Linked DNA regions of Coturnix japonica. The protein of the gene in region 2 interacts with the protein of the main gene of each other region in a pairwise test. Links are inferred from orthologs where the notes say so. Each region holds a gene or a part of one and is shown on either strand. Other genes may lie near its edges. The genes, in order: RAB29 and C5H11orf49.

The links.
Region 1: the proteins of C5H11orf49 (region 2) and RAB29 interact in a two-hybrid assay, tested with the Homo sapiens proteins (2 studies listed by BioGRID and IntAct). The two-hybrid records come from large-scale screens. The link is inferred for Coturnix japonica from reciprocal best matches to the Homo sapiens genes CSTPP1 and RAB29.

What each region holds. Positions count from the first base shown.
Region 1 is NC_029541.1:2,551,009-2,567,682, forward strand, and holds RAB29 (ras-related protein Rab-7L1), read right to left. Parts: upstream 10,253-16,674; 5' UTR 10,229-10,252; coding exon 10,105-10,228; intron 9,953-10,104; coding exon 9,881-9,952; intron 9,428-9,880; coding exon 9,246-9,427; intron 9,021-9,245; coding exon 8,899-9,020; intron 8,571-8,898; coding exon 8,453-8,570; 3' UTR 6,084-8,452; downstream 1-6,083. Other genes in the region: NUCKS1 (nuclear ubiquitous casein and cyclin-dependent kinase substrate 1), read right to left, coding at 4,306-4,322; SLC41A1 (solute carrier family 41 member 1), read right to left, coding at 12,909-13,094, 13,504-13,652, 14,279-14,413, 14,951-15,030, 15,407-15,554, 16,082-16,228, 16,328-16,472. UniProt on the Homo sapiens protein: The small GTPases Rab are key regulators in vesicle trafficking. Essential for maintaining the integrity of the endosome-trans-Golgi network structure.
Region 2 is NC_029520.1:20,777,329-20,793,204, forward strand, and holds part of C5H11orf49 (UPF0705 protein C11orf49 homolog), read right to left. Parts: intron 8,370-15,876; coding exon 8,267-8,369; intron 1-8,266. UniProt on the Homo sapiens protein: Regulator of the tubulin polyglutamylase complex (TPGC) that controls cytoskeletal organization, nuclear shape, and cilium disassembly by balancing microtubule and actin assembly.

The DNA.
Region 1 (16,674 bases), on a different chromosome or scaffold from region 2:
ACATTATACTTCTAGTAACGGTTTAAAAACCATTCATTTCTGTCAATTAACTCTCACATTTGATTTGGGAGAAGTGCACTAAAATCTTCTCAGAGCTTCTAATAGCACAAATTAGCTGTTTGCTGCTCCTCACAGCTCCATATACTCATACTTACTCTCATACCTTCTCTTTGAGACATTGCTGTTCCCATGTGTTCTCTTTCTACAACACCTGCACTTCACTGTTGCCTTTTGGCTGCCTTGTCAATCAGTTACCCTGACACTCTAATTAATATGTATGACAGCCCTAACAATGGTTAAAGCTGTTCCCAAATGGAACACGAGCAAAGGCTGTGCATGCATTTTACCCCACCTGCATTTCTGAGCAGCACCAATTCTGCCCTTAACCCACCAGCACCTTCTTTGCTCTCTAACCAGCTGCAAGTCATGCAATAACAAAGCATCCTTAGCATAGCAAAAACAACCCAGGACAGATAAAATTAGGCAACTACACTTGGTTGCTAAGACTGCTCAGCTGAATATCCCAAGAGTCAGTGTTGTGTTCTGGCTGTCGATCTGAAACCCATTCTAAGCACTCCTCCTGTACCTCTATTTGTGACCTACAGCAGAGCAGCAGCCTTCCAACAGAGGAAGCAGGATAATTACTTTATTTCGAGCCTACACAAAGCCTCTTAGTGCTCCAACAACAATAAAAAACAAACCAACACTGCTAACAAAAGAAAGCAAGACCAGTCATCAGATTTCTACAGGTTGAATCCCATCCAAGCTTCAGGGTAAGCATGAGTACAAAGTACAACAGCAATGCACTACAGCACAGCCCACTGCCTACAATACCCATTAGGGAATACTATACCAAGGTGTGCACCACCCACCTCAACCTCCTGTTCCAACATGCAGTTATATCATAGACTCATAGACTGGCCTAGGTTGAAAAGGACCACAGTGATCATCTAGTCCTCCTGGAGACTCCTGCCCACATGTGGGAAACCAAGTTTATTCTGGTTAAGCACATGAAGAATGATGAAGTTGCTGAGTGAGGTGTTTGATTTGGTCTTATGGTATTATGCTTTAGTAGGTATTATGCTTTTCTCAATAAACATAAGCATGGAAAAGAAGGTAGAATTGCTGTCTATTCAGTTCTAGCAGCTTTGTAATAGAGCTGTTTCAAACATCACTTAAATAACAAGCAAGATGGACATTGCAATATTGCAACCTATATCTGCCCTATAGGAGTAGGGATATTCATAACCATTATGACAGAAGCAAATGAGAATGAAAATTTAAGATAACTTCTTTGCTCACACAGCTTAATATTTAAAGTGTGTGTATGGGAATGAGATGGGGGAGGAAAGGCACGGAGAGAGTCCTGAGAGCTGAAGTTTGTGATGGCAGCTGTCAGCTCTTCATTTCTGGAATAGAGATCAGCTCACCCAGCAGCACAATGGCACATGACATTGAAAGCTTGAGTGATGAACTCAGAACTGCACAGCAGAGTTCTGACAACTCATACTTGAAGGGTATCAGACTGAATCCAGTTCTTATGTGATTAAAAACAACAGCAGTATTTCAAAGGGTCACTAAACACCCATACAACTGAATACAGACTGTATAATAGCGTCATATCTCCAGCTAACCTGGTACCTCGAACAGCAGTGTTCTGAAGTTGCCATGTCAGCACACAAAATAATCATGAGTTAAAATACTTCTGTTTCTCTGAGGAAATGTTTAAATCCTTCCATATATATATATATATATATATATATATATATATATATATATATATATATATATACACACCACTGAAAAGCAAAGCTAAGAGCCTTAAAGCTCATAGCAGCCTCATCTCGCAAGGAAGAGGAATGTTTAGGTGATACAACTATCAACAGAGATAACAACCTACTCTCCCATGCAACTTGAGAAGTCAAATGAATGAGAGGTTCAGTGGTTATCGATGGTTTTGTTTTAAACTACGGCATGTAATTAATATAACAATCCAACAAAGCTTCTGTAGTGAGACAAGACTCACTGACCAGAAGGTCGCAGTTACTGGGCTCATAGTCTGGACTTGATGCAGCTCCAAATGTCAGTACTGGGCGCTGCTCACGTCACCTGCATGATTTCTAGGGATACACGACTTAAAACTCAACAAAGCAATTCAATGATTTACATAGCAACACTGTGCCCATCCTCCTTTGGAACTTATTAAATGAGAAGATACTGAAACATTCTAAAGACAAACAAAAGACCCACAAGATACAAGAAAACTGTTCTGCAACAATTGTTGCAAAGCACAAAATCAAGTTACCAGGAGCTTCTACCCTTATTTCTTACCACACTGCAAGTGTTCAGAGCAATAAACTCATCTTTTTACCTATCTGGAAAGTATCTTGGACCGGCCACGTTTTGACCTGGAGGGCTATGAAATACAGCTGGGCAACAGATTGCTACACCTCTGCTAACAGCACATTGGACTTCAGCACTGAGCTCTGCTCCACAGCACTGCCTGTTAACTGCAAGTCAGGTCGAGTCTTTTGCAACACCGCATGATTTGATGGATTTAGTTCTGGTTTATGAAAGGTTTCTTGCAAAGGTTCCCTGATAGCAGAAGCCTTAAGTTGTTAAAGACACGCTTTCCTAACCTGCAGCAAAACTCAAGTGCTGGTAAGTAAATCAGCAGAACACATACCGAGCAGCACAGTCACATCAGCACTATTTCAGGACACAGACACTGTCATTCAACATCAGGCCACAAGTCCATTTACCTGCAAAAACCCACAAACTGGTGCTGCAGGGCAAGGTGTTAACCCTGCTCATCACCTCTCAGACCTGAGGCCATGCCTGGGAATGGAGCTCTGAGCTCTTCTCCCTTTCCTTTTGCAGGCAGCCATGCACTGCTGATCAAAGATAAACCAACCAACCAGCTGCAACAACAACTGTTTCACGGATCAGTGTGGCAAACATTCCTGGTCTCATGCCGTATTCCTACTCTGTTTTGTAAACTCTCACATATTAGGGATATGAAATATAAATGCAAACTTATAGGTGTTACCTTTTATAAGTAGTTTATGGCCTACATTCACAGCATGGTTGGGGATGGAGGGGACCTTTAAGGTGATCTAATTCCAGCCCCCCCATATAAAATAACTCCTAGGACTGCCATAATTATATAATGATTATTCCAAAATAAAACACAGTTGGGCCTGATGGCCTTAGAGGTCTATTCCAGCCTTAATGATTCTATGAAAACAAATGAGGTTATCCAATATCAGGCTATCCCATATCCCAGATCAGGCTAACACGAGACAAAAAAGCACAGCAATTACAGAACCACAGAATTATCAAGGTTAGAAAAGACCTAGAAGATCATCTAGTCCAACCATTCCCAATACTTCCAGGCTAAATCATATTCCTCAGCACCACATCCCATGGACACTCCCATGGTTGGTGACTCCACCACCTCCCTGTGCAGTGCATTCCAATGCCTGACTACTCTTTCCAAACAGTAATACTTCCTAATGTCCAGCCTGAATCTGGTGCAGCTTAAAACCATTCCCTCTAGTTCTATCACTGATTACACGAGAGAAGAGGAGCTCACTACAACCCCTCTTCAGGAAGTTATAGAGAGCTAGAAGGTCTCCTCTGAGCCTCCTCTTCTCCAGGCTGAATTCTTACTTAAGCCCCCTTGAGACTGCAAAACCGAACACATCAGAGCAGCCAAAAAACACACGCGAGGAGACACCTTACCTCGATTTCAACTACGAGCCACAAGCACAAAACAACCCTCTCCTTCCAACGCAAGGCGGCTTTCTTAAAGCTCACATCGGACCCGGGCGGGGCGTACTCTAAGCGGGGGTGGCTCTTTACGGCTCCGCCCCCATTGAGCGCGGTTCTGCTCCGCTCCCCCGCACGGCCCCGCTCCCCTCCGCCGCCCCCCTCCCCCAAGTGAGCTCCAATGCTCGGAAATGGCGCCTCTTTCCTCTACCCCACGCGGGTCCGTGCTCGAAGCTCCACGCAACATAACGGCGCTCCCCGCCCCCTTTCTTCTCCCCATACACACACACACAGCTCGTATCGAGGCCTGTATAACCCCTGCAATTAAAAATGGATTCAAAATACATCGTGCACGCGTAAAACACGGGGTTACACGACTCAGCAGCCCCCCTCCACCACACATACATACATACATACATATGGCCAGGCCTCCCACCTACCCCAGGCTTAGGGCCTACATTGAAGGCCTACCCAGCTCTAAGGCCGGGCCTTAAGGCGAGATCGCGGCCTCCACTCCCTCCTCCAAGGACTCACCTGACAGGCCTGGACATTTTCCCCTCTGCTTCAGGCCCGGTCAGGCCGACACGTCCAGCAGAACGAAGGGATGAAAGAGAAGAATAAACCCCGCTAATCAAACAACAAGCTTCGGAGCCTCCTGTTCTCCCCCCCTCCCCACACAGCTGGGCCCAAGCGCTTCAAGCCGAGTCTCTCAGCCCCTTCAGGGCCGCAGCCTCCGGCCCGAGCCCACCCGTGGGAGGGTCCACGTTCACTGTACGTGGGCCTGGAGCCCCCCGGCCCCGCTCAGCTCAACCCGACCCCACCGCACCGATTCCCCCCCGCAAAATGGTCGCGTTCGCCCCGCTCTGAGGATGCGAGAGGGGGGCGGTGCGGCCTACCCCGCTGGCAACACCTCCCGCCACGCTGATTGGTTGATGGGGGAGAATGGAGGCGTTTCATTGGTCAGTTCGAACCATCACGGGTGAAGGTCCCGCCCACTCGCCTCGCGGGGAAGGGGGGTGAGGGCGGCCCGCATGCTCTGAGTCACAGAGCGGGTTAGGCGCAAGCGGCAGATTCGCCGCCGGTTCCGTCGCTCCGTGTGCCGCTCCCCGGTGCCGTGTTACCCACATATCCACACACCTCCACTTTAGACACCGAGCCTGAATTTTTACATGAGCTCAAACAACCGGGGAGCGATCGGCAGGGATAAGCTCAAACAACTAGGCGAGCCATCGGCAGATTCGCCTGTTGGAGGGAAAAGGCGGGGAAGCGCCGCGCCGCCCCGCAGCGGCCTCCACAGGATCCCGCACATCCAGGGCCTGATGTCGGCTCTTATAATGAGGCCCTCGGTCCTACAACAAGGCCCGGCTCTTCAGCTTAAAGCCCCTCGGTTAGAGCAGGGAACGGCCTTTGTCATGTAAGTGTGCCCTGGGGCCTCACACTGAGGGATCTAACGTGAGGGAACCGCAAACACAACCCTGAGGGGATTCGGGGTTGGAAAAGGAGCTGCTTTGTGCTGTGGTGAAATAGGATATATCTACATTGCATTATATGGTGGGGTTGGAAGGTTGTGAGGGCCTCCATCCAAGCATTGCTAACGTGGCAGCTCCTGGAGCAGCTGGAGGTGTTTGGTTGTACACTCAGCACTTCAGATCCAGCTTTCACTTAATGCTAAGAGTCTTTAGAATCATTTAATTCCTTGTATGAGCTTCGTTTGCCCCCTTTACAATGATCAGTTCATACGTGCCCAGTCCATCGTACACTGAAGGGACTCAGCTCCTCAGATCCAGCTTTCACTTAATGCTAAGAGTCCTTAGAATCATTTAATTCCTTGCATGAGCTTCATTTGCCCCCTTTGCAATCATCCCTGATCGGTTCATATGTGCCCCGTCCATCGTGGGAGTCAATACTCATGAAAATCAAGCTGATCAGGGAAAGAAAGAGGGGCATTCAGAGCTCACTGTGTGAGCTAATGAGCCAGAAGGAGCAAGGCCTATTAACAAACAGCCACATCAAGGGATTCTTTTCTTCCTCCTCTTAGCTGGATGTATTGGATTAAAACCCACTATGACAGCCTGGCAGATGTGAAAGTTTGGCGTGCTTATGTCCCACTTGTAGGTCAATAACACGACGGTAATGAAGACAACGAGATTTTCCAGAGAAAAAAGATCTAATCTGTTTTGCTGGCAACACAGGGCAGTCCACACTGGTTGCTTTATAACACCTCCTGTTCTTGGCAGCAAAACTGTTTCTGTTTTGATCTCACGAACCCATTTCTTAGGACTCTTGAGACAGGAAAACAACGTCTACACCAGCAATGTCAAACTCTTTTATGTCAGACCTTTGCTATATTGCATTCATTTACAGTTTGATAGGGAGAAAACCTCCCAGCAGTTTCTTCTCTTTGTATAAACATGATAATACTGCAGTGTTACAGTAAGGAGAACCCTGTTCTCAAATACTTCTGCATAACTACAAGCTGTTTTAAAACCAAAACTCAATTTTGACCTCATTGATTCTATTCCAGTATACATTTCTATGTGGATCCACAGATTGCAGTCATCAACATATTAAATATGTAACTAAATGTCTCTTTTGAGACCTGTGACCATAGATTTAAAGAGTTAAGCAACGAGAAACACGTGGAATAGAGTGAAATAGGCATGGATTGCCTGGAATTACATAGAGTACAATGTCAAAGCAGGCACTGCAGGAAGGAAAAACCAAAGATCATTTTCAAAGCAGGTGGAACAGCAGAACAGAAATAAGAAAATCAGAAGAGATCTTCCTTCGGCTTTTCCTTGTTTCTAAGAGGCACTTAGGGAAAATCAAGAGGTCCGGATACTAAAAAGGCACTGGTACGTATCCAAGTGATGTACAGAAAGTATGGCCATGGAAAGTACAGGCCATGGAAACCACAGCTGTGCAGTTCTTGCTCAGTTCCAAGCTTTCGTGGCTGCATTAGTTGGTCCTGGGCAGGGACCTCCACTGCAAGCCTCATCCCCTTCACCTGTATGGGCAGGTCTAACTCCTGGCCTTTGCTCAATTAGACAGCAATCAATAAATAATACACAAGTCTTTACAGTTTCATGACAGATCCTTCTAAAAATCAGACCCTTTTTTCTCTTTTCCCTGCCATGTTTAGGAATTAAAACACAACAAGACAGTTCAATTTTGCTCCTAACCACCCCTACACACTTCGTGTGTTTCTCCAGTTAACCCGAAGGCACAGGGAAAGGTATATTTAAGTGCTTATAAGGCTGAATTTGGCAATATTTACACAACAGAATCTTAGCCTGGATATTTGGAACATAACATAGGCCGAGGTTTTGTAGCCCTTCCTCACAGCTTATCTTTCTCAACCCCAGATAACAAAAGGCAATCAGTTCTTGTTCTTACTCTGCATCCACAGATGATGGATGTTCTTAAGGGAAAGTTTTTCTGCCTTTTAATCTTTTGGCACACAGAGATGTAAACTATGAGAGAAAACATCATTGAAGAGCACTTGTTTAAACCCTAACCTCAACACAGGCAGGACACAACTCTATAGCACAGCAGGATGATGACAAGAGCCCACAGTGCTGCATAACTGCAGCCTTCCAGACTGGCCTTCCTTATAGCTCCTCCAAGATAACTCTAATGTGTTCTTACAGTTTGTGGTTGGCAAGAGCCATTCATAGCTAGGCACACCTGGGGGATACATTAGGAAAAGCAGGCACAAAAAAAGCAGCTGGGGAGCAGATTTCTTCATTTCCTTTTGCCCTGCAAAGTCTTTGCTTGCCCCTTAAAGCACTAAACCAGCAGTGGGCTTCCAGCACCAAAGCCTGCCACCAAAGTCACTGCACTGTAATGGTGGGAAGGTGATGCAGCAGCAATTGCAAAGCTTAGTGAGATGGTAGGACGCAGGGTGTGCTAAAAGTGAAAGGAACTGTTGTTCTGGCACACAAAGGAGTTTACAACCCATTCCTCATTCAGCTCCCAGTGTCCTAATAAAGCAGCAGTGGAAGAGAACACATGGGATTGTGCTAGACAGAGGGTAAGAGTGAAGGAACAGAAGGCAACTGGGCAACGCTGACAACTCCGCAGTCAGCACACACATGATTTAGGGCTGTGCTCCATCTCAGATCCACACCTTAAGGACATGGGATGACAGTGCTGAGATGTGTTGGTCTCCAGCAACAGGCAGACAGAGGTGTAAAGTTCCAGAGCACAAAATGAAGGGTTTGCTGTAATCTCACCCCAGGAACCCACAGGAGCAGAGAGAACGATTCAACTTCATGCGCATCAAATGAGGGTTACTGCAGCACTCTGGAATGGTTGCCTCTGTGGATCAGGTGCAGGTCTTGGGGGATAAAAGGTACCAAAGGTGCAACAGCATTAAAAATACACGTTCCACGTCCTTCACCCTGCATGACACAGGCTGTCATATAGGAGAAGATGAAGAAAAGTGCTCAGTGTTTTAAAAGATGAATCCCAGCCATGTGCTTGAGCACAGACTGTGCCGTGCTCCCACTGCTGCTGTGCTGGAAGAAAGAGGGCTCCTTTCCTCACTCTTTCCATTCCTCCTTCCAAGCCATTGCAGCAATGCTTAGTGAGTATGAATGTAAAGAGAGGACAGTTCACTATCTTTGAAAACAGACAAAAAAAGGGGTAGAAAACAGAAGCAGATGGAGCAGTCAGTGCATCAGCAGCACGCCCAGCCCGGCGGGGACGTCTCTTTGATATTAATATAATCCCCCCTCCAGGAAGAAGCAGAACTTCCATCACCAGTGGATGAGGACATCATCTTCTCAATCAGGACTCTGGAAGACAAATAGATGTGAATTAGGGCATTGGAGCACAGAGAAGAACAAAACAAAACAGAACAACAACAGAACCAAAGCAACAACTCCTGGTTGGACACAAAACTCCAGAGCTTTAAGGAGCAGAGGATCAGCTTCCTGGGTACAAGCTGCTTGACCAAGGGCAGCACAGCGTCTGACCTCTCTGAATTCAGTTTCCCTTCAGGAGATTCACTTGCATGTTATTGCTGCTATCTGTTACTTGATGACAGCATCTCCCCTTACCTCAGCCAGCACTGTCTGAAGGAGGGAATTAACTCTTGCAGTGTGCCCCAATTGCTGTTCCTACCTCATAGACTCGTTAATGTTCTTGTTCTCCTTGACGGATGTTTCCACCCAACCAGAAAAGCCATTTTCTTTGCTGAAACGATCCACTTCTTCTCTTGTCACTGCCCACGGGGAAAGGTCACACTGTAAAACAGGAGTCAGCCAGGTGAGGCTCAACCTTTCCATTCCCAAGCTGGGAGGGGAACTGTTGGGCAGTGTTGGGCAGTAGGAGGAGAGCTTTGAATCTCCTCAATCCCAACCTGACACAGAGCTCTCAGGGCAAGGTTCTTCTGGAGGTGTTCAAGGCCATGTTGGATGGGGCCCTGGGCTGGTATTCAGTGTGAGGTTGGTGGCCCTGTCTGTGCTCACCTTGTTGGCCAGCAGCAGGCACGGCACAGGGCTCCCATCTGGAAGCGTCAGCTTGCTGTCCAAGTCCTGCTTCCACTTCTGGCTGTTGCTGAAGGTGCTGACATTGGTGACATCAAACATGATGATACAGGCTGATGCCTCCCTGTAGTACAGCCGGGTCATGGATGTGAAGCGTTCCTGCCCTTCAGGATCAAAAAAAAGACAAAAATCCCCATTTTTAAGTTCCCATTTTTAAGACTTACTCAACCAAATAAGTGCCCACAGCAGGACTTTGCTTCCTCAGCTCCAAACTCCATTTAGGAAACAGAGGTGCACCATAATGAGAAAGCATTTATGCAGCCCCCACTGAGCACTGCATGGGGTGAGGGATTCTGCTTTATCTTCCCAAATATCTTTTCAGGACCCTTTGATTTTTAATGCACTTCTCAGCACTGAAACTGAAATCTGCTTCTTTGCTGCAATCCCTTCCCTGCAAACTTCTCCTTCCTGTTTTCTTTATGAAGATCCCAGACACCCAAACCCAAAGCCCTGCATCCCAACCTGCTCTGCACCCTAAAATCCCACCCATCCCAACACATGGATGGATGGAGCCTCATCCCCACCTGGATGCACTTTAGGGCTCTATATGAACATACCTGCAATGTCCCACAGCTGAAGCCGCACCGTCTCCGACTCAGACCACTGGACCACCTTCAGTGCAAAGTCCACTGTGAACCCCCATAGGAAAAGAAACTCCTTTAAGGATTAAATCATCAGAACCCCCCCCCCCCCCAACTCTTTACAGCTTCATTTACATCCACGTTACACAAGGAACCACCGAGCTCACCCATCCCAACCCCCCCCTCAAGGCTGTGCTCACCTCCCACAGTAGATTTGTAGTGCCGGTTGAAGCTGTCGTTGGCGTAGCGCTGCACCAGCGATGTTTTACCCACCGTAGCATCCCCGACCACCAGCACTTTAAACATTCGGTCCCTCTGCCCCATCTTTCTATCCCCCCCCCCCCCAAAACCCACCCCCTCCTCCCTCCCCCCACCCTCGGGTGCAGCGATCACGTGATGGTCAGGCGGAACAGCGCAGTTCCGGAGCTTGTTGGGGCGGGGAAAGATCGGAATAGAACGGAATGGGGTGGAATAGAACGGGACAGAACGGAATGGGATGGAATAGAACGGGACAGAATGGAATAGAGCCGCATGGAACAGAACGGGAGACGACAGGATAGAATAGAACGGGATAGAATAGCACAGAATGGAACGGCACAGAGGGCATCCCACCAAGCCTGCCCTACTGTCTAACCACCCCCATAGGACAGCCCTTATTGCTTCCTGACCCCCCCATACACAGCTCTATGCTGCTCCCATTCAGTCCATAGGAGCACAGAACCAACCCCCCCCCTCCCCCCCCCAGGGCTGTTATCAGTGCTGCAAAACTGTGTGCTTCTAAGCTGCTCCTGAGATGGAAGAAAGAAGGGCACCCAAGTCCGCATAAATAAATGTCATCTTTATTTAAGGAAATATAATTTATCAGCAGTTGACATCCGTCAATCCAGTTACAGTAGCTATAAATAATTAAGACAAGTCTTTGCTTTGTTTTTTCTTTAATACAAAGAGAGCTCAACCCGGCGTTTCTCATTTGCAGTCAGCTGTAAGGTGGGCTGTGCAACCGAGTGCAAGTGATGGGTAAAGCTTTTGGCTGTCCATGTGCTGAGATGCTAAATGAGATCCTGCCCCATCCCATTCACCCCACAGCACCTCAGCACCCATAGGAGACCATGGGAGATCCTCCCTCTGACACCACTGCTTTCTCAGGGAACCAAACCCTGGCATCACAGCACAGAGCAGTAATGGCACGGCCATACACAAACATGGCAGCAGAAGGAAATCTCACATCCCACCCCTCAGCATCAGGCAGGGATAGGAGGTGAGAGCAGAGGATGCTGGAGGAGCCCCCAGGCTCAGACTTCTTGCTTTGGGGTATGAGTTTGGTTGGTTGTTCTGATGTTTTGGTTTTCCTTTGTGTTTTCGTGCAGAGCTGTGGCTGAATCAGACCTGCGAGCAGCCAAAGTCAACTACAGGAGACAGAAGGAGGGTCAGAGCTACTGCCACTAAGGGGACAGCACAGAGATGGAGAGGGGGAAGGCGAGCCTCACATCAGCAAGGTGAGGAGGGGAGCATTGCCTCTTTGTGCCAGAAATGCTGAAGGTAACCTAAGGGAGGAACTGAAGCCATTCAAGACAGAAGAAGAAAAGCAGCAGCCTGTAGGTGACCCCAGATCCTGCAGCTCTCAGGTGATGGCCCTGGATCTGCAGGCAAAGAGGAAATGCAGCAGCACAAAAGGCACAGGGCTGCAGTGTGAGCTCTGGTCCTTTAAGGGCATCTCCCTGTGCTTTGGGCACTGCAGCACCAAAACTGGGTCCCATGGGACACTATGATCCCCACCCCTACCAACATTAGGAGCTCTCTCCCATGCATGCAGTTTGCATCAGAGCCTGCTGAGCACATCATTGAGTGAAGCTTCCAAGTCAATAAGACTCGCTTAAATAAACTGTGCTCAGCTCACTGAATTGATTTATATCCAAATGGGAAAAGTAAAAAGCTCTGACAGCACCCAGGAAGGTGATTGTATTACAAACGCCTCAGTCACACAACCAGAACTGGTTTTCTCTCATTATGCTGCTGCATGAGAATCCCCCCGGGGAGCACAGGTGGAGGAACGGCAGGTTTTCCTGGCCACCTCCCAGCTGGGCAACACAAAAAGCAGGAGGGAAACAAGGCTCACAGTGCTCAGCCCCTCTGCTGGCATGCTGGGCTGTCACCAACCCCAGGCTGCAAGTGCAGCTTGAAGCAAGCAGGGTGCTCTGCTGAGAGCCACATAGAGTGCTGCGCTGACAGTGCATGGCTGCACAAGTCAGGCTGTGCTGCTGACCTGTTTTCCTGCTTCCTCCTACGCATACAGGGAAAGCCAAAGGCTGAACACAGATGGCATCTTCTAAGAGACAGCAGCAGCAATGATGCTCCCGAGTTTCATACTCAGCAAGGGAAGGTACTGAGCAGCTCCTGCCCAGCTGCAGCTGGAAGCAATCCTGAATGCACAAAAGTGGATCAACTCTGGACCAGAGAGCTGCATGTTTTGGGAGCAAAGCACAGGTGAGGGGGTGCAGGGAGAAAACACGAGGGAGGAGGGTCACAGGACAGAGAAAACAGGAGATCCCCATGTCCTCACCCACAAGGCTGCACTTTGCTAGCAGGTGCCCTCTCAGCAACATCCATCTTAACTTCATCTCCAGCATTTAAAACGCTTATGAAGCGAACAAAGCAGCCCTTCACCTCCAGAAGCTGGGACAGGGGGGGCTCCTGTGTGCTCCATCGACTGATGGGCAGCTCCCCTGGAACACTGGTCAGACAACTGCTAGGAAATTGCACTTAGTGATTGTCTCATTACACTCCCGCGTCCTTCCTAAAACTAGATTTATTTTCTGTACAAACTTGGCTTGAAATAGAAACCACATAAAATTCCCATTGAAAATAATGAGAATCCTGTATCAAAGATGAAGTCTCGTGAGAGACAGGGTAAGGGATGGGGGGAGGAAGGGGAGCAAGAGTGGAAGAAAAACAATCATGACAAAAATGAATGGAAGAGAGCAGAGAGGAGGGGTGGCAGGGAGAGCTAATCCCCCACATCGGAGTCCCGGTCACCAATAAGCCATAGGACATGAAAGCTGAGAGCAAGGAGACCTGTTCCAATCAGGTCGCCCAGCGCTGTCAAGTAAGGGATGGAGAAGTTGTCAGGATCGAGGTCCCTGCCCCACATCCAGTGCACCATCCAGTCAGCGATGTACAGCAGAATGAGAACCTGGGAGGGAGGCAGAAAAGAGCCACATCAGCCACAGCCCCAACCTCTGCCATCCCTCTCCTCATGCAGTACCTCTGCAGCCCCTCCTTCCCTTCAATGCATCCCCAGCACGTTCAAGCATAAAGGCTCAGTGCACTGATACCCAAACACCAGCAAGTCTATATTTTTCATCTCCATCTTAAGATCTAACAAGAACAAACTCAGAGATATGGGGCAAAAGAGAGGACTCAGAAGCACAGAGGACTCTTAGGAAGGGTCAGCAACATCTTTATCCCAGGGATAAAGAGCAGCTGAAGCCACCAGAGCGCAATGTTCCCCCCACCTCCTTCATATCAGTGCTGTGGATGGCATGGCAGCATCCCTTACTGCAGCCTGAGCAGTTGCAGCCCCTGGAGGGGCCTCAGCTCACCTGGAGGAGTGCAGCCGTCATATAGAAAACAATGAAAATGGGGGTGAGCGTAGTGTGTCCACCTTGCATGGAGCTGATGGTGTAAAGGAAAACCAGGTGTCCAGGCACGACTAGAAGGAAGAGCACACGAGCAGAGCGGGAATTCACATCTGTTGGGAAACAAATGTGGAGTTCAGGAATCAGTGGGATTGGAACACAGCAACTGTGCAGCCTACTTACAGCTGGGGGCACCTCGGATCTCAGAAGGCCAGAACCAAGGCTATGGAGTATCAAACCTCCCCCAGGCAGCCTGGAATATGACCACCTCTCCACACACTATGTAGGAATGCAGGTTCGGCTGTTCACTGCTACAAATAACAGGGCTAAGAAGCATTTGCAAGTTAATTTTCTCTAATTGTAGCTCTATAGGCCCAGCAGACCCTCAACATTTGAGCAGCTTCAAGGCAGGTTTAGGTATCCTGAACATCTGGAAAAGATTTGCTGGGTGAAGGAATTACAGCATTACACACTTAGGGCACAGAACTTGGGCAACGTGCTTTCCTAATCCAGCAGGGATGTGTCCTCTTTGCATATCAGCTTTGCTAAAGGTCCACTGGTCTCTAGAGGGCAGGGCAGGCCAAAAGAGCAGGCATCCACGAGCTGACAGCTGCCTCTGAGCCTCAGCCACCATTTCCTGTGACAGTGCTCCAGTGACGGCCTCAGCCGAGCTCAGCCAGCCATTTGCAGCAACTGCTGCTTGCAGAACTCAATACATTCCAAGCCTTAATTTGAGTACCTGAGCTGAAGAAAGTGCTGCAAGGGCTGGGGCATTTGCGAGGGGTTGTTTCAGGGCTCTCTCCAGGCATCCCACTCATGTGCAGGTAAGTGGAGATGCGACTCGCCTGCACTGCCACCAGGTTGCCACCCACACCTGCAGATAAGGAGAGCACAATAAGGGAAGTTTAAAGCTGCTGGTTTTTGCCTGAAGCACAAGGAAACTCTGAACTTGCCAACCCATAGATGAGCTGCTGCAGAATTAGCTCAATTTATTGCAAGGCTGAGAATGAGTGCAAACAGAACTCCCTTGGTTCATTAGGCAGAATGGAGGTCAAAGCTTCATTCCAGAACAAACCAAAGATTTCCCGACTTGAGTTGCAAACCCAGATCTTTATGTTACCAAGAGCTGCAGGGCTCGTATCTTGGATCAGGGGTCTTCCATGAGCCAGAAGGAAGTGGATAACAAACAGCTCTTGTTGTGGCTCCGATTTGGAGTTTCTCTCATGCAATGGCCTCCCCTAAACCTGTTACCCTCTCCTGAAGGGGCTGGCACCAGGAGGTGCTGCTGTAAAGGTTGGGTTTGATCTCATCTCACTGGTGCTCTAGCAGAATTAGCCTCCTTAACCTTCCTACACTGAGGCAGAGGCCAAGAACCATCAGAGCTGCAACATCACCATGGAAAAGAACTCACCATTAATAACAGGGGTGAAGACAGCCATCCCAGCAAAGTTCGGATCTGAGACCGTCCTGTCCAAAATTAAACCCCCAACGCTGCAGAGAGAAGAATGAAGAGGTCAGTGCTGAAAGCCCATCGGGCAGCACACACAGAGCACTGCAAGTCCTCCCTGCTGCAGCGTGTGCACTGGGTGATGTATCCACCCACTAACGCGTGCAATAACCACGTGCTGAGGCCTTGGATTCCAGCAGTCAGGTGCTCAATGCCCCTGGGCCTCAATCCCAGTGTCTTTGACTGGAAAACACAACGTGACCTCCAGTTTCCTGGCAGAGGCCGCTGTGGAAGGAGAAGTTTGAATCGCCATTTTCTTTTGGAATCTGTCAAGCGTGAAAAGGTTGGAAGGGCTGGGGGGAAAAAAGGTGAGTTTTGTGTCTGTGTTTCAAGGAGAAGAACTCTTGCACACCTTCCTACCTGCTAATTGCCATTGCAATAATGACTGGCTCCCAGCCAGAGTACAGCACCTCCCGAGTCGCTGCGTTCTTCTTGGCAATGATGATCCAGATGGGCAGCAGGGCTATGAAGAAGGCACACACCAAAGGATTCACGTATGCTTTGCTCCCTGAGGGGGAAATAAGCAAAGGCAACAGGTCAAGGACACATCCTGCAGCAGAGAGCTGTGATGCTACTTCAGCTGAGCTCACCAGCCCTGCCAGCAGAGAGCTGCCATCCCCAGAGTCAGAAACATACAAACAAGACCCAACATTTCCTCCTGATGCACCTGCTGAATGAAACCTCTTTAGTTTCCCAACTGCTCCTTCCTACTTCCCACTCCTGGGCAAGACCTCCCAGAGCTGCTTCACCTTTGAGTGAACCTGGCTGAGTCACATCCTCTGCATCCCAGCCACCAGGGAGGAGGAAATCCATAGCACACAGCTGCAGCTCTGCACTGAGGACCCCCAGCTGGTGCTGACAGTATAAAAGACTACAACCAAAGCTGCCTTCCCCCATTGTTTTAGCCACTACCAAGCTCCTAGCACTTGGAAGCCCCAAGAGGATTAAGGGTAAAGGAACAGGGTGAAACACAAGGGAAATGCTGCAGCAGACACAAGGACCAGGGAGAGACAAAAGCCTTTTGTTGCTGCTCACCCAGCTCTTTGTACAAGCCCCAGCTGATTCCTGAAAGCAGAGCCAGGGTGATGAGATCCCCCAGACTGGCAGCAATTGGTGTGGCTACGTTATCAGGATTGATTCCCATCTTCCTGGATCCAATGATGACTCCAATCATGATCATGCCTACAGCAAAATAAAAGAGGAAGAAATTAGGATGAAGGCAAGGAGAGCCCAGCATGTCAGGAAGAGGTGCATGAAGAATGTACATGATAGATATCCTACCCAGGACAAGGGAAGCAATGAAAGCAGTAGCCACGCTGCTGGCACAGAGCAGGACAGCATGGTCAAGGCTGAAGTGCCCATCTGGAATCCATCCAAATATCACTGCTGCAATCGAGGCCAGGAAGCCAACCACGGTAGCCTGAACCTGAAAATGAAAGTGAGATGAACACCAAGAAGACTGAGGCAAAATGGTACATGAAGTTCAACCTTCAAGGCAAACTGCAATGGTAATGTGACCATGGGATAATAAGGTGCCATTTGTTTCCCCCTTAGACATGCAATACCGACAGTCAATACCCAAGAAAAGACATTCAAGCCTTCTGACACCTCTTCAAGTTGGACTTCAA
Region 2 (15,876 bases):
ATGTATTCAGCAGTAGTTTTCTTGCATTTTAAGACATCTGAAATATTCTTAGAGAAAAATAACATATTTTTTAAATTTCACTGCAGATAAGGATTAAACTATGACTTATTACATGTAAATTCCTAAAAACTGTAGAGTAAAAAAATTACCATTAGTTACCAAGTTTTCTATGTTACTATGCTTTTATAAAGCTGCAAGTTCTACTGCATTTCCACCGAATTCCAGGTGCCAATTCCATGTTACTAAAACAGTTTTCTTCAAAACATTTACAGAAGCTGCAGGAAATCCAACCCTTACAGACAGTGACCAAGTATGAAAAGAGATTACCGCTTTATATACACATTGCAGATTGTATGCAAAAGCCTGTAAATAGACTCACTACATCTGTTCTGGATAAGTCGCTATTTGTCTCAGTTTTTCCTCCCTATATGTTCCAACACTGAGCGACTCAGCAAGCACAAATAAGCAGTTTTCCAGAATGATGGAGAAAGATGTTTGTCAAACAATCTCTACACTGAGTATCTGTTTAGCTTTACATTGAGCTCTGTTCCAGAGCATTCCTCACTGGAAGACATACAATATAAGATTCTGACTGAAGGATCCTTCTGCTCAGGCAAGTATTCAAACTAAAGCAGAGCAGAGATTTTCAATCAGAAATATCAAAATAGGAAAAAGGAAGTAATTGTCCTATACTGAGGATATAGGAAAAACAATAGGTAGTTGGAGGGGAAAAGAAAAAAGACCCATCCAAAAAGGGACACTATGATATGAAATACTCAACTGGTAAGTTAAGGCAAAATAACCGCAAAGAGCTCACATACAAGAGGCTCATTAAAGATGTTCTTAGGAGCTGCAATGACTTACATATCTCTTTTGTTGCACTGCCAAATGCACACAGCTCAAATGGAGTGGTGAAATAGGAAAACTGTATCGCAAACAGAGCATAGCAATAAAATCAATTCTGTTACCTTCTAATTCTGATGAAAGTAACCAGTTTTCAGCATTCTGTGGGTTCTTGTTTTTTTCAACTGCCCTTCAAGTTATTCAGACTTGTTTTAAAGAACAAATTTACACATTTGAAGTGTGTAAAAATAATTCAAAATTAACTTCTGGGGATCAAGTACATGTGTTCAAATCTGTATTAGCAATATTTAGAACTACAATAGAAACACCAAACATTTGGAAGTATAAACAGAATTATGAACTGGAAGTAGACAAAGGATAATGCATTCAAACATAGCTCAGAGGAAGAGCTCAAACACCAGTTAACTCAGATATGTCCTAACACACAATTTGTCAGGTTTCTGGACTTTAAATCTTGAAAAATTTCAAATGTTTGTTTTCCAGTGTTATTAGTTACCAATACTTTCTGTATGCAGTGATCACTGAAGGCACCAACTTTATGGCAACAGTGTTGCCTTTCAGCATTCAAGGTTGTAAGAAGGAAGAGAGACACAGTTAACTATATATAAAGGTCTTCCGTAAGGCAGTCAGCCCATTTCTCCTTTAGGTATTCTATTCACCAACAATTTCCATTATAAAAAGCAATAGGAACAAAGCAAGTAGAGGAGGCACTGATATGTAATGAATACGTACTTGAGGCATCCTATTTGGAGTACACTGCATATAGAAGTTGCAATTGCCTCTGTTGAAGTAGCAAGAGCATACTGCAGCTTGGCTATCCAGAAGTAGAGGCTTATCCATGGAGAACTACCCTGCGCTGCCAAGTTGCTGATACGAAGTGCTAACATTTGATGTTATGGCAAGATCTCTAGGTTTTCCTGTCACCACAACAGTATTATATGTTTCCTGTGTGGAGTACATTACCGTAGGCCTTGTTAAAAGTAAATATTGCCTCCTACATTCAACCTGCTCTTCTAAATACAAACATTATAAATTTGTTCTACTACTAAAAATTCTTCTTTCTTATTTTTCCCCTCTATATTTCCTTGTAAGGGCTTAGATTCATGCAAGCATCTGCACTCCTGTAAACTTCTATGTGTACTCCTGTAAACTATGTGTGTGTGTGAGGGGGAGGGGGGGAGAGGGGAGGGAATCAATACATTTTCTAATGTATTTGCAACATATCAACATATACAAACTGTGGTGAGAATGAGCGTGTCATTCCTGTTAACATATGCATTTTTTTTTTCCCAGCAGTTTACTCAATGGCAGCCAATCAACATATTTGTCAGGCTAGGACTTGTTGCAATGTTTGTTACAAAGAAACAGCTCTGGGAAAAGGAAGACTTCGCAGAACCTGCTGGTATGAAGAAGATATAAATGCTGCTTCTGCTATTTAAAAACAAAAACAAACAAACAAAAAAGCTACAGGTCGTCTACAGGCTCTGTACAAAATTCATCCAATTTAAAATAACAAATGATCATACAAAATGTACACCCCTTACACTGCAGGCAGGTGGTACTGAAATCCCATTTCTGCTATGGGCCAGAAACTTAGTTTACAAAGGAAAGACTTTCCTATTCTGATACTTCTCTATAGGAACAAGGTTGGAAAGCAACAAATCGACCTCAATGGAAGGGCTTTGTGTCTGTTAGCCACACATCTGTAAGTGTAGAATTATGCAACTATTATAGGATCCCCAGAAAGATTTATCACCAAACTCAGCCCTGTAAATCCTTCTGTTCTCCAGAAAAAGACATTCAAAATGTCTTTCTGAGTAACTTTTTCACATTAGCTGCAAAATCTCCTCAGAGTTGCTGGCACGAGCACTGTCTCTCAGAATGCACATATTTATCCTCTCTCTTCTGATAACTGAAGAGTAAAGGAGACACAGACAGCACTCTTATGGGATCAAGGAATCCCAAGTAAGAGACTGTCAGGAGCCATCAAGCTCCTGTCATCCCAGCTGAGATTCTCAACCCAAAGAACTCCTCCACAGCTTGGCCATTGACAGCGGCAAATTCATACCTATCACACGCTCACAGTAGTCTTGCACTGAATGTGATCATTTTGATTCTTTCCCAAGCAAAACAACTTCATAAGTTCTGACAGGATTTGAAGAACATGTGAAATGTAACATCTATTGCAAAAATAGTATTAAAGAGCACATCAACATTTGCTGTAAGTATCTGAAAGAATTTTTGCTTCCTAGATACAAGTTTCTGAAAAGAGAAGAGAGAAGAGAAATAGGGAAAAAAGAAAAAAACACACACATCACCTTCCCCCCGATTCTTATCAAGAAATTCAGCTGATGACACTCAATTAGTCTCTGTCTCTCAAAAAGGGGATACACTACAACTCGTCAAAGCCCTAAGGACCTTCTCACTATTCCTGTTGTTTATGCCTCCATGCTTTGTACAGTTGTAAATGTTCTACAGTGGTGGATGCTGTAAAGTACATGCAGTACAATATAATTTCTGTCTTGACAAGCTCATACTATCCTTGCAAACAAGACAGAACAAGTTACTGTGAAAAGAGGAAAGACACAGTGCAGATGACAGCAAGATGATGATGATAAGACCTACACACACAGAGAGATAAAAAAAAAAAAGAAAAAAAAAAGGCTCTAAGATAGCTCTAAGAATCTCTCCTCTTTATAAGAGGATAATTCAGCTTATTTCCAGTTGTCATTCAGCATTGCCTCCAATGAGTGGCTTATTTCTCACAGGCATCCATCTGTCCCATTTCTGGCCCTTCCCTTCTGCCTCTTCCATTCCCCAAGGGTACAGAGACCATTTTAAACAAGAGGACATTGTTTCCCCTACAGATTTATCTAGGTAACTTAACGTGGAAGTACAAGACTGAACAAGTTGGTGTCACTGCTATTGCTAGATTAAGCCAAAAGAGCAGTATCACAATAGTCCCTAAGGAGCAAGTTGAATGAATAGTTCCAGCCAATCTAGAGAGCAGGACAAAATGAGGTACCTTCTTTACTATAAGCAAATACTTCTCAATACTCTCTATCCAATGATCTCAAGCTATACAGCACTACCAATCCTTTTACTCTGAATTAAATAAGCATTCCTCTGCATAAAAAGTTTAGTCCAGCATTTTAAACTAAATATCTATTCTAAAGGACCTAAATGCAACATCTAACCACCATTCCCAACAAACAAGCACACTGCAGGTAACTTCTTAAATAGATATTATCAAAACTGTCATCAGAAAGCACGCAAATGTGAACAAGATCCAGCAGGGATACTTCAAGTTAGACCTGGATGAAATATCCCTTACAGAAAAAGGGGATCTTGGACATCAGTCAGTAAGCACAGAGCCCAGTGGTGGTGGCGATGCATCTGCATGCAAACAGCAAGATGTCTTTCTCAGTCATCCTGCAACTGGCACATGGATGGGAAGACATTTCACTATAAACAAGGGAAAACAAGAAGTGCTCTGGGAGAAGTACATGAAAAACAAAACAAAACAAAAAATAACCTTTTAAAAGAGCCTTGAACTGAGTGGGGTATCTATCTGCAAACTGAGAAAGTTTCAAGCCAACTATTGCCATAGAAAAAAAAACCAAACAACTAAAATTACTAAAAGTTTTTTGGTCAAGGACAGTTTTTGCTGTTTCTTCCAGCTAAAGTGAAATAAGCACACAGCTTCCCTTTAAGATCTCAGAAAATTTAAAGTAGAACACAACGCACATTCCCGCTGAGTGATCAAATGCATTAGCACAGGGGCCCTGTTTTTCTTCAGTACAGGAACAATCAAGAAAACAGGATGATAAATAATGTATAGGAGGAACGTGTCCCTTTAAGATACGCTGGCTCAGAGTTTAGGTTGGAAGAAGTAAAGCAGCATTAGTCTGTAATTACACAAAGGGCTTTCAAGAGTCTGCATTTCATGGAGATTCAGAAGCAAAGCAGAGATTTCTTGGGTTTGCAATGAACAAACACCAGTAGCATTTCAGCAAATCTATAAAATCCAAACCAGTCCTGAGAGAGGCACGATTTTACTCTTTTAGGTAAAAGATGCGGATTAATTGGCAGAAGGGTGATTGAGCCCTATTCTTGTAAGAATCAGGAGTGAGTCAGATGAGAGAAGCCTCAGAGAACTCGCAAGATTGAAAGCAGATGTCCACATGATTGGGACAAATGAGCAAATGAATAAAGTGGGAGAAAAAATATCCTTGAAGACTAAAAATATTCTGGAAGGAGAGCTGTAAAGAAGAGGGTCAGCCCTCTACAATCAGCAATCTTAGTGCTCAGCTGTGGATAGCAGTTTAATACAGAACTGTTTTCATTTCCTGAACTAGGAACAACTTATTGCCTGCAAAACATTTCCAGCTTGATCCATACATAGAGAGCTGTATGACCACACAGTTTTTCAACTCTGAAATTTCAGTCAGATAATCTAAATCTCCCCCAAAACGGAATCTTTTCTTAATGATTACCTACAAAGTAGCTGTTATAACTACTACAATGTTTTCAAGTGACTCACAGTGAGGCAGGGCACTGCAATGCATGAGGGATACGTGATAGGTAGCCATGATCACCCCTCTGTGATGAATCCAGTCAGAGGGGTCCATGGAACACTGCTATTGTACAGTGTACCCTCTAAAAAGATTTACTATGTAGAGACCATACTTGACACACAAACTTCATTATCTTGGCAGAACTACAGAAGATTTGTATTGATTTGCTTGACAGAGCAGTACAAAGCAGTGGAGTTCAGTCAGGTGGATGGGTACAGTTCCACTGGGCAGCAGGAGCTTAACACTAAGCTCTGGGAAACTTCCTGTTCTATCTACATTCATATTTCTGATCATTTATTGTCTACTTCTAATATGGGTTCACACATTTCACATTATAATTGTTTCACAGCTCTGCAAATTACTAAGGCTGTTTGTGCTTTGGGTCATGGACACAATGTCATCTGCTAAATTCTACCCATACCACTAAAAGGAAAAAAAAAAAAAAGAGTGACAAGTTCCTTATTACTTGTGAAACAAACAAACATATTCTATTCCCATCTTTCAGGAAATAAAAAGCTCCATGAAATGCTCAGTGTGAATGGAGCCATTTTAGAAATTCACGTATTTGAAAGTAACTGGGAAAAACATAAGCACCTAAGTCCATCACAGGGTTGTGCTCTATGCTCACAGTTCTGTTTGTTATAATGATCTTGCATTACCATGTATTCTTTCAGAAGCAGAACAGGAATAGGAAGTGAAGAGAAAACAGGCCATGATGAAGGAAGAAATACTGCAGAGAAGTGGTGTGGGCAGTTTCAATTTAAGTGTGGAAGACTTCTTTCACCACTATTTAACTCTTGAAGCATATATCCACAAAGGTTTAGAAAACATCCTGAGATGTCCACTTGAAAGCAGGTGTAAAACAAATCCAGTCTGGATAGATACAATAATTCCAGCTGGGTATTGCACAGTCACCTTGCTTTCAGTCCTGGTAAACAAACCCTGATGTGGGTGGAGGTCATTACAGTCATGCTCTTTATCTTTAAGCACTTGTTTACTATTTGTTCAGCTGATTAATCTCAGTTTTACTTCTGTGGAAAGTCACCTGAATCAGATGGTACATCATGATTCCCAGTCATATCAAGAACACAAGATTGTATCTTTATTTATCCCTAATAACTACTGCCACCGATTAATTCTCTACAGCCATCACCTAACAATGACTACTAGCCCTGCAACTTGCTCACATCATGGAAGTGTATTGTTTGTGCAATAAGAGTTGCATTCCAGATACCATGCACTGATTTTTATTTTTTAATCTTTATACCTTGATAGTCCACAGAAATGGAATGTATTTAGTGTTCAGGCTACATACACATACATGTACACATATACACATGTACATAAATATCCTTGTAAAACCAAGTACTTTATCTATTCTAAAATAGGTTCTGAAGGTCTTTTAAAGTCAATTTTTACTCCAGTTATGCTGAGCTACAGAGTAACAGTAGAACAAGACAACGTCATTTCCCTGTTAGATTTTTCTTAATTCCACAGAATAAAGGCATTTATACAAAGAAGTGTTGCATTTTGTCATTGGGATGATTTCTTTAAAGTGAAAGATGAGTACTTTCGTGAGAGCTAAAAAACATATTTCCTTTTTACAGTGCCATCTACCTAAAAGATCTGTTACATAAACAGATGTAGCAAGATGGCCTGTATCTTATTTCCCCTGCCAAGCATGGTTGAAACCACACTGGCCTTGAGCAGCTTGCTACTCTGTCTCAATATTAAAAAAACAATAATAATAATAATAAAAAAGCTTTAGGAATTCCCACTCAGATTTGCTGCATAACTTATTTTAGTTACTAATTTACCAGAGAGAATCTCAGATATTTCTAAGTTTGAAATACACATGGGGCTGGAAAATATAACCTAAGCTGTCCAGACAGCTTAAGTAGGAAGTTAGATCTCATTTGGAGGTCAGATGATCCACCTGATCATACCTCAGTAAAAAACAAACAAAATAACCCAACATCACTCTGATCAGCTGAGAAAGCAAGCTTCTCCTGAGCACTGAAATCCTCTTCCACAGCTGTAGTATGGATATTTCTGCAAATTGCTCTGCACATCTATTAGTCTCAAGAAAAATTTAACAGGAAAGGAAGCAAATGAGCAGACTTTCAAATGGGCATAAAAAGACAGACTGAAGCACACCAACTGCAAGCACACCCATTACCAACAGATTTTTTAATGAAGCTGCCGGAACACTTTTAAGCATTGTGTAAGACATCAAGTTGGCGAAACATACAGTGATTGGCTGAGTCAACATCAACAACACTGGAGATCAGCACAGTTTCAACTCCCCCCTCCAAAATGAAGAAATAAAAGCAACAACTTCCCAAATTAGTAGGAAAAGATAATCCGTGCTAATAATTATTTTCATTTTTAAGGACTTACGCAGGTTGCGGGGGAGCACGAGACATTCTATTAAAGCATTCAACACAGTAACAATTACACAAGGGACAAAACAGTTTGAATCCAAACAAAAAAAGAATGAGTGCTGCTGAAACCAGAAACAATCCCTGCTTTTAAAACTGGCTAACAGCTCTGATTAAGCCAAGCAGGGTTTGGTTTTCTATATGCTTTTAAAGGCTTCATTTCCCAAAGTGGCCGCTTCACATGAATGTAACAGGAGAGGTACCAAACTGTATGAAAACCCATGCACGTTTCTGAGACGTACTCAGGCAGCCCTTGGCTAACCTAGTGAAATCTAGCATTCACAACATAATCAGCATGTGTCCAGCTCCATTCTCCATGTACCCTGCCTGTTTCCAAAAGCCTCCCTCAGGCTGGCCCTATTGGCAGTATCCTGATGTACTTACTATTCAGTGAAGAACCTGGCAATGCCATACTGACTAATATCTTCTCTGTTCTCCAGCAGCTGGCTCACTGCATCCTCCATGTACGTGAGGACATGTCTTTGAGCTGCAAATAAAAGATAGTAAGAGACAGAAATTAGAATACAAGGGGCCTGCAAAGCCCAGAGCCAGACCAGCCTTGCTGGGGCCTTACAAAACAAACCAATCAGTATTTGTTCCCTCATTTAGAAACCAGAGTGTTGTTTTTTTTTCTTCCAGATACAGATAGCAGAACTCCTGACCTAAATTCCTGCTGTCTTTCCTGGCTACACAGTTAGTCATTAACAGTGTGGACCCTTTTTCAAATCCTTTCAGATTCTGCAAGTGAAGGAAGAAGAGATAGAGCTGTGAGACAGCCATGCTGGAAAATGCTTATCCAAGAGGAGGTCTTCATCTCTTCTGAGTCACAGCCATATTTCGTATTCAAATCACCAATGCTAGATCAATGAGGTCGTTGTAGAGATTTAGGTGTTCCCTGCCCCTCCCTGCTTACCAAAGCCAAGTAGCTTTAAGGTTGTTCTGTAAAGTTTTCTCTAAAGGTGTAAATAAAATTACATCTGTTTCCACACAAACATCAATAAATGTTCTTGGAGTGGCAGGTAGAGAACAGGTCTCAGTACCAGGAGAGATTTATACTGCTCAACAGTTAGTCCCCAGTAACTGCCTAAACCAAACCTGAGGAGGTTTCAGAAGAGGCAGATCTGCCAGTACCCAACCACACTAGCAAGTCTTCTGAGTAAGACTGTACAAGACAAACAATTTTGCTGCTTCTGCAGGGGGCAGACTGAAGAAATCAAGCATTTGCCAGGAAGGAAACAGTACAGATTTGCCACTGAGTGCCTTTGATGTTCTTGGCTGGAAATCAACTCGGAGGAACAAAGAGCTGAGTCTGGCGTGATGCACAAGCAGTAGACTTTCCAAACCTACAAGTTCAACAATCAGAAAACAAGTCATAACGAACCCAGGAAAATTGTTCCTAACCTGGAAAGCACACAAGCCCTGTTCCCAAAGCACACACCTCCATCCTAAACACGTATGGTACTGCACCTTTGCAAGTAGTGTCGTGTCCTAAAAAGAGCAGGAGAAGGCCCTTAGGGGATATAGGAAAGGCGAAGGCTGTTCTTGCTCCTTGCCAATCTGTTCCAGACTTGGCAGCATCACTCCCCTCAACTAGCAACTGGCCAACCACAGACCCACATCAATATTCTTCAAACCATTTTAATTTGTGCTTAATATCCTGGTAGGCATCAAGCCTGTGCCACTTGATGCACAACATGGAAGTCCCTTTCATCTTAGTGTGGGGCAGGTGGGCTTCAAGAGAGGCCCGGAAATGATTATTCCCAGTGGATACAGTGATTAAAAGTATGTATGAACATTGATTGCTATCAGGGGATTTCTCTGACTAGAACACTTTTTAGGACAATGGTAAAATTGGTTAAGCACACCCTGGAAAACACCTTGCAGCTGATAGCAAAATGGTGAGCCAAAGGTTCAAAGATATTATCTGGCACTAAAAGATACAGGGCGTAGCTTTATTTAATTATTTTAATGCAAAGGAATAAATTTATGTGAGTGATTAAAGAAAAATAGCTCTGCGCACCTGTGTCCCCTGAGGGAAGAATGAGTCGTGCAGCTCAGTCACAGTCTTAAGATAACAGCAGCTGGGTAACTTTATTTCAGCCCATCCTTCTTCCCTCTTCATTATGCAGCCCATCTTGCACCCAGAAACATCTTCCCAGGCCCCTCTAGAGCTGTCAGCAGTACCAGATTAAGTCAGGAAACCACACTAGCAAACAGGCTTCCACTCCTCTCAGTCCACAATATGTTCCTACTCAACTGCAAAACTGTTTTCTAAATGTTCTAGGGATGTATATGCTCCCTGTTGTAGAAGAGCCCTTACCAGTGAAACACACATTTCTTTTGCTATTCCACTTCTTTACAGTTATTAACCTCTCTCCTAAACGCCTAAAGGAGTAAACAGGTATGGTCCCCACAGTGCTACATATCACGCTAAGACTGACCTCTCCTAACAAATACCTTTGAGTCTGCTCCTGGAGGATAAATTAATGCTCAACACAGAATTTCAGATATTTCTGACACCCTTAAAATAGTACACAATTATGTATGGGTTACTGATGAATACTGTCACTGAAAAAAGGACATTATAAATAAAACTTTTTGCTGTGTGGTCTCAGGATCCTGGTAAAGATTATCTCTCCTTATTTCCCAAAAGGCAGATAGGGAAGTGGGGGAGGGAAGAAAACTATGAGCAGAGAAGCTAAAAAGAAAAACAGCACTTGCAGTCTACTTAAGAAGCCTCTTTCCTTGACACTTCATCTGCTATGCTGTTTTCCAGGTAGCATGGTTCACGCTGCCAAATCAAATCCCAGCTTTGGCTTCCTGTTTTCTGGCTGACGAGTTCCACAGAGTGGTACAAGCATTATGCTTTGTAGCCCAACCAACTCTATCCTACACAGAACAGTCATAAAAAAAATAATTTATGGGCAGGTTCTAGCAGGCCAGAGAGACAAAATGAAATGCCAGGGGTCTAGTTAGAGCAAAACATTAGTGCCATAATTTATATAAAGGGTACTTTCCATAACAAACATTGGAACTATACGGCAACATTACCTATTTATGTAAGTGCAAAGTTAAAAATCCACAGGGTCCAATGCAAAATAAACATGATGATTCATAGCTTTTAATACTGTTTCAAACTCTTTGAAAATCCAGGGAGTTAATGTTGTATTGTTATAGATGCTGCTCCTATTTTTTTGACCAACTTGGAAATAAAGCAGCAAGTCCAAATTAGAATGGAAAGTTCAAATGCTCACAAAATGCTACAATTACAACCTGATCTCTCTATTCATTGTCTTTCTGACACAATTCCAGTTTACTGCAGCTTCCACATACATCATTCTCATCATTTACTGTTTGTGGCTTATTCCAGCTACAGCTCTCCTCCCTACTCATATAAAATCATGCAAGCTAATGGACCATGCAACACCTTTGCTAAACTCTTCCTTGAAATCCCATGCAACTACCCTAGAATGGAATCAAGTGTGCCTGCCACACACGTTTGGTAGGTACCACTTCTTGTTGTCAAACCTAAAGCCTGCCAGGAACCTCTCACAGAAAAACAAAACAGCATTAAGTTCACAGAGCAGTCTTCTGGCAGCCAATGACATGATGTTAAGTAGGTGTCCTTTCACAGAATAGTTTAACTCTCATCATGAACAGCTAGTGGTGACATTACACCTAGAGTCTGCACAACTGATTACAATGCGTCTAACATGTCAGCTACTGCAGCACTTGGGAGAATGGCACTGACAGCATTGCCACTCCACTCACACACCAGCATCCCACCTCACTAGCTCAAGGTACAAAGTACATTCTGAAATTAATACCCTTTGGCTCAAAACCAAATTCAAGGTTGAGTGCTGTCTGTTCAATTCAAGCATGGCCTGATCGGGTCACATGAGTTTCCTCCAGCTTAGAAGTAAAAGACAGAGAAAGAAATACACCCACACTCAGTTCACAATCCCTACGTTCTCCACTACAATAGTTTACGCAACCCCAACTGATTCCTTTTAACTGAAATTATATCAATTTATTTTTACATTTGAAATTATAGTAGTAAAAATAGTCCTTTTGTAAGCCAATGAATGACTTGTTTCTTCTTACAAGAACAAGCAGGCCTGGTAATCTGTAGGTTTGACTAAAAATATTATAAGAACAGGCACTGACATTTGAGGGAAGACTTGAAGGAAAAGGAAAATACTACTATGTGAAACGGAATGTATGAACTAACATTCTCTAAGTCAGAAATTCAGGAGGAAGAAAGAAAATACATACTACCTTTATGTAACGATACTGTGTATTTGTATTTTTTTTATTACCAGCAGTGCCCAGGAGCTGTGAGGGCGAGGATAAAGAACTTACATATGCTGTAGAGCCATTCCCTTGAGTTGCATGTTATCCCTTTCAGCACACAATGGCAACATGATGGAGCTTTTTTTTTCCAAGAGATTTGCCTTTTTTAAGAGGCCAATAAAACAATCAGACAAAAATAGAACAACAAAAAACCTCACCCTGTAGATCAGTATACCAGCAGACTGGAATAAACTTATATAGGATGGTAAAATACACATCAGTACAGGTCAACAGGAATGCTCTGTTTAAAGCAGCATTAGAACCACAGCCAAGAGCAAAGGTTGGGTCTTATTTATCAAATTATCAAATCAGCTAGCTGCATTATTGCTCAGCTTGTCATGAGAGATGCCTTCTAAAGGATCACAAGCCCTCTACCAGAGCAATACCTACTGTATGCACGAGTGTTTTTTTGTTGGCTGCTTCATTCCTGGCATAGCAGAATGTTATGAAAAATCAGGAGTGGGAATTCCTGGATAATGAGACTGATTTTTATTAATTATTTTCCTCCTCCTCAATTGAAGTGCTCAAAATACACTCTTTGATGCAATTACCGCTCTAATTCATTTCAGTTATCAGAAGTTCAAGAGCATTACAAGATTTAATGTACTTGAAATATTTTTGGTGTTTTTAAATCTCTAGCTGCTACTTTGTACGCTCCTAAATTCACTTCCTGATTTTATTCTAAATCAGAGCTTAACTAAGGACCCCACTGAACTAAGGACCCCACTGTATTAAAGCACATCAGAGACAACTACAGTAACACAAAAACAATTATTGCTAATATTGCACGAGTAATAATAATGCATATAAACTACAAAAACAGAATAACATCAGCTCCCAAAGACTTTTCAGCATTGATAACCTTTCAGGATGCTCTTTTTCTCTTCTTCAGATATCCTCACGGAATGGACTTAGCAAGAGAAGTATGCAAATAAAAACAACCGACCTAAGAGCAAAATCACTGTACAGCTATAGTTCCTCACAGCTTTGCACAGCTTATCAGTATAATTTCCTATTAGCCCTAAAAACTGAGATTAAAGGACAGAATGCGTAGCAAAGTGCAAGTAGACCCAGCCATACCAGAGATAACACTATGATATGAGTGGGACATGAACAGCTGTTCAGGAATGTGTGCTAAATGGCCACACAACGCATTGTATTCTGTGTATTCGTGGATTTAAAATCACTTTCAACCAAAAAATCTGAGAAATGCTTCAGTTTGTAATTTTACTGTGACCACAACTGGATATTTCTTTCAAAAAATTAATCAGACATTAATAACAAACCATGACATTATAGTCTTTCACTGCACAAGCATCCTGAGACCGCACACAGATTGCCTTCATCGTCCAAATCCCTCCAGCAACTACCTCCTGCAAGATGCAGTGTAGATGTTAGGCATCACCACCTCTTCACTGCACAATTGTTGAGCTTTTTTCCCCTAAAACATAAATCAATCTGAATTTATTCAGCATGTTATTAACACTGTGGAAGTAATGACCACTACTGCTTGTTACAAGGACATTAGATACCCTTTGACAGGCTCCCTGTCAATTCATACTCAAACACAGAGGCTCTCCAGTTCTGGAAATCTACCTCACTCAAAATGAGATTCCATGTAATACCTATCAAGCTAAGGTAGATATCCTGTAGTACAACAGCAGGTTTGGTTTGAAGCTGCAATCTTTTGGAGAAAGTATGATACTGAATCTAAGAGGATTTGAACTTATCATCCGTACAAACAAACTTAAATCTATCAGCAGGGAAGTCATTCATCCTCCGCATTATAGCTCTCCTATTTATACAGAAGAGTAAGAAAGGGAAAAGAAAAATGATTTGTTATCTCTTTTTAGACCAGAACATCTTTCAGATGGAGTGTTCCATAGAAGTTTGGCAAATATCTCAACTGTGAAGAGATTCAGCATTGGTCATGATCCCTAGATATAAGCATAGCTGTATGGGAACTGTTCAGTCACAGCCTGAAACACTGATTGAGCACCTGGGGAAAGGACCTGGTCAGCCCTGGGAGCACAGGTGAAGGCAATTCAACTGTGGGACAAGAAGAGGTGGACCCTGGCTGTACCCCTCTTAGACCTCATTTATGGGCTGACTGCAACTGGGGAAGGTTCTCTGGCTGAAGATCTCTTCCTTGTAGAGTTCTTTCTGTGAGCCTAAATCTTTGGAGATGGGTGAGTACCTTTACTTTTCCTGTGAAATACCATCCTATCTGCACTGGTCCCTTTGCTGTTACTTTCTTGTATTGCCCTTCTACTGCATTAGTCTTTCCAATTGTAACAGTAGCCTAAACATTGAACATGTTGGTAAAGAAAATTGTACAATCATAGAATTTTTACAGCTGGAAGGGTTGAGTTTAAAAGCCGTCCAGTCCAATGCCGGAGAACAGGAACACCCATGGTTCCATCAGGCTGCTCAGAACCCCATGCAGCTCTCTGGGTATGGTCTCATCAGTGCAGAGTAGAGGGGTAGGATCATCTCTAGATGATCTCTAGGTGGATGCCTTCTGGCTATACTTCTTTTGATACAGCCCAGGATATTGTTGGCTTTCTGGGCTGTAACTACACATCACTGACATCACTACCATCCACCAATACCCTTGAGCCCTTTTCAGCAGGCCTGTATATAATCCTTTCATCCCCAGGCTTATAGTTATATGGATTGCCATAACTCAGGTGCGACTTTGCACCTGGATTTGTTAGAACTCATGAGGTTCATCTGGGCCCACTGCTCCAGCCTTTCTGGATCCCTCTGAATTGCATCCCATCCCTGTGCCTTGGGTGCATCAACCGTACCACACAGCTTGGCATCACCTGCAAACTTGCTGAGGGTGCAGTTGGACTTTCTAACTCAGTACTTCAGGAAAAGGGTAAACCCCAGCTTTGTGCAAGGTCACTGTGTGACTGAAGTACTTTGCTGGAAGCTACTCTTGGCTTTGTAAAACGTGAATGCTCTTTCAACTCATTAAGCCTAAGAGAGATGAGGAAACAGGACTGTGTTCCTGGCACTTAATAGCCTCATGCTTTACCAATAAGGCATTTACCTAATGGTAAATTTATGTTCTTACATGTCTTATGCTGGCAAAGAAAGGAAAAAACCAACATCCTGGAATTAGGGAGTAGAGAAAAGAAGGCTCCAGAGGAAAATTTCAGAAATTTGCAATAATCTTCAGCATTTTCTTTTTAATGGAGAAGATGGGGAAATCTACAACTTGAAGCTTCAGAAGACAGCTGCATGAGTAGAACAATAAACTGAGTGCTCTGTTGCCTGTTATAAATAATGGAGCAATCACCAGTTATTAAACTGTAATGAGGAAGGCATGGAAAAGTGTCTCAAATAAGCTTTATTTTGCCTACTGTTGTTCTAGTCTCATCCATCAAACGTAAAACACATTTTCATCACTATCCCCAAACACTAACTATTGTTTAGTGAGTGAAAACACAGTTTTAAACATCCTGCTTGCTACAGCTTCTTCCCTGCAGCCCTTTCTGCCTATTTCGCAGACCTCATCTCCTTTCCTATTCACTGAATTCTGGTCATCTCTGCTCTTCTACTTATTGTCTCACAGTCACTATGGCATGAGATTTGCACTTCCCAATACCAAAAATTTGCAGTTATTTTTCATC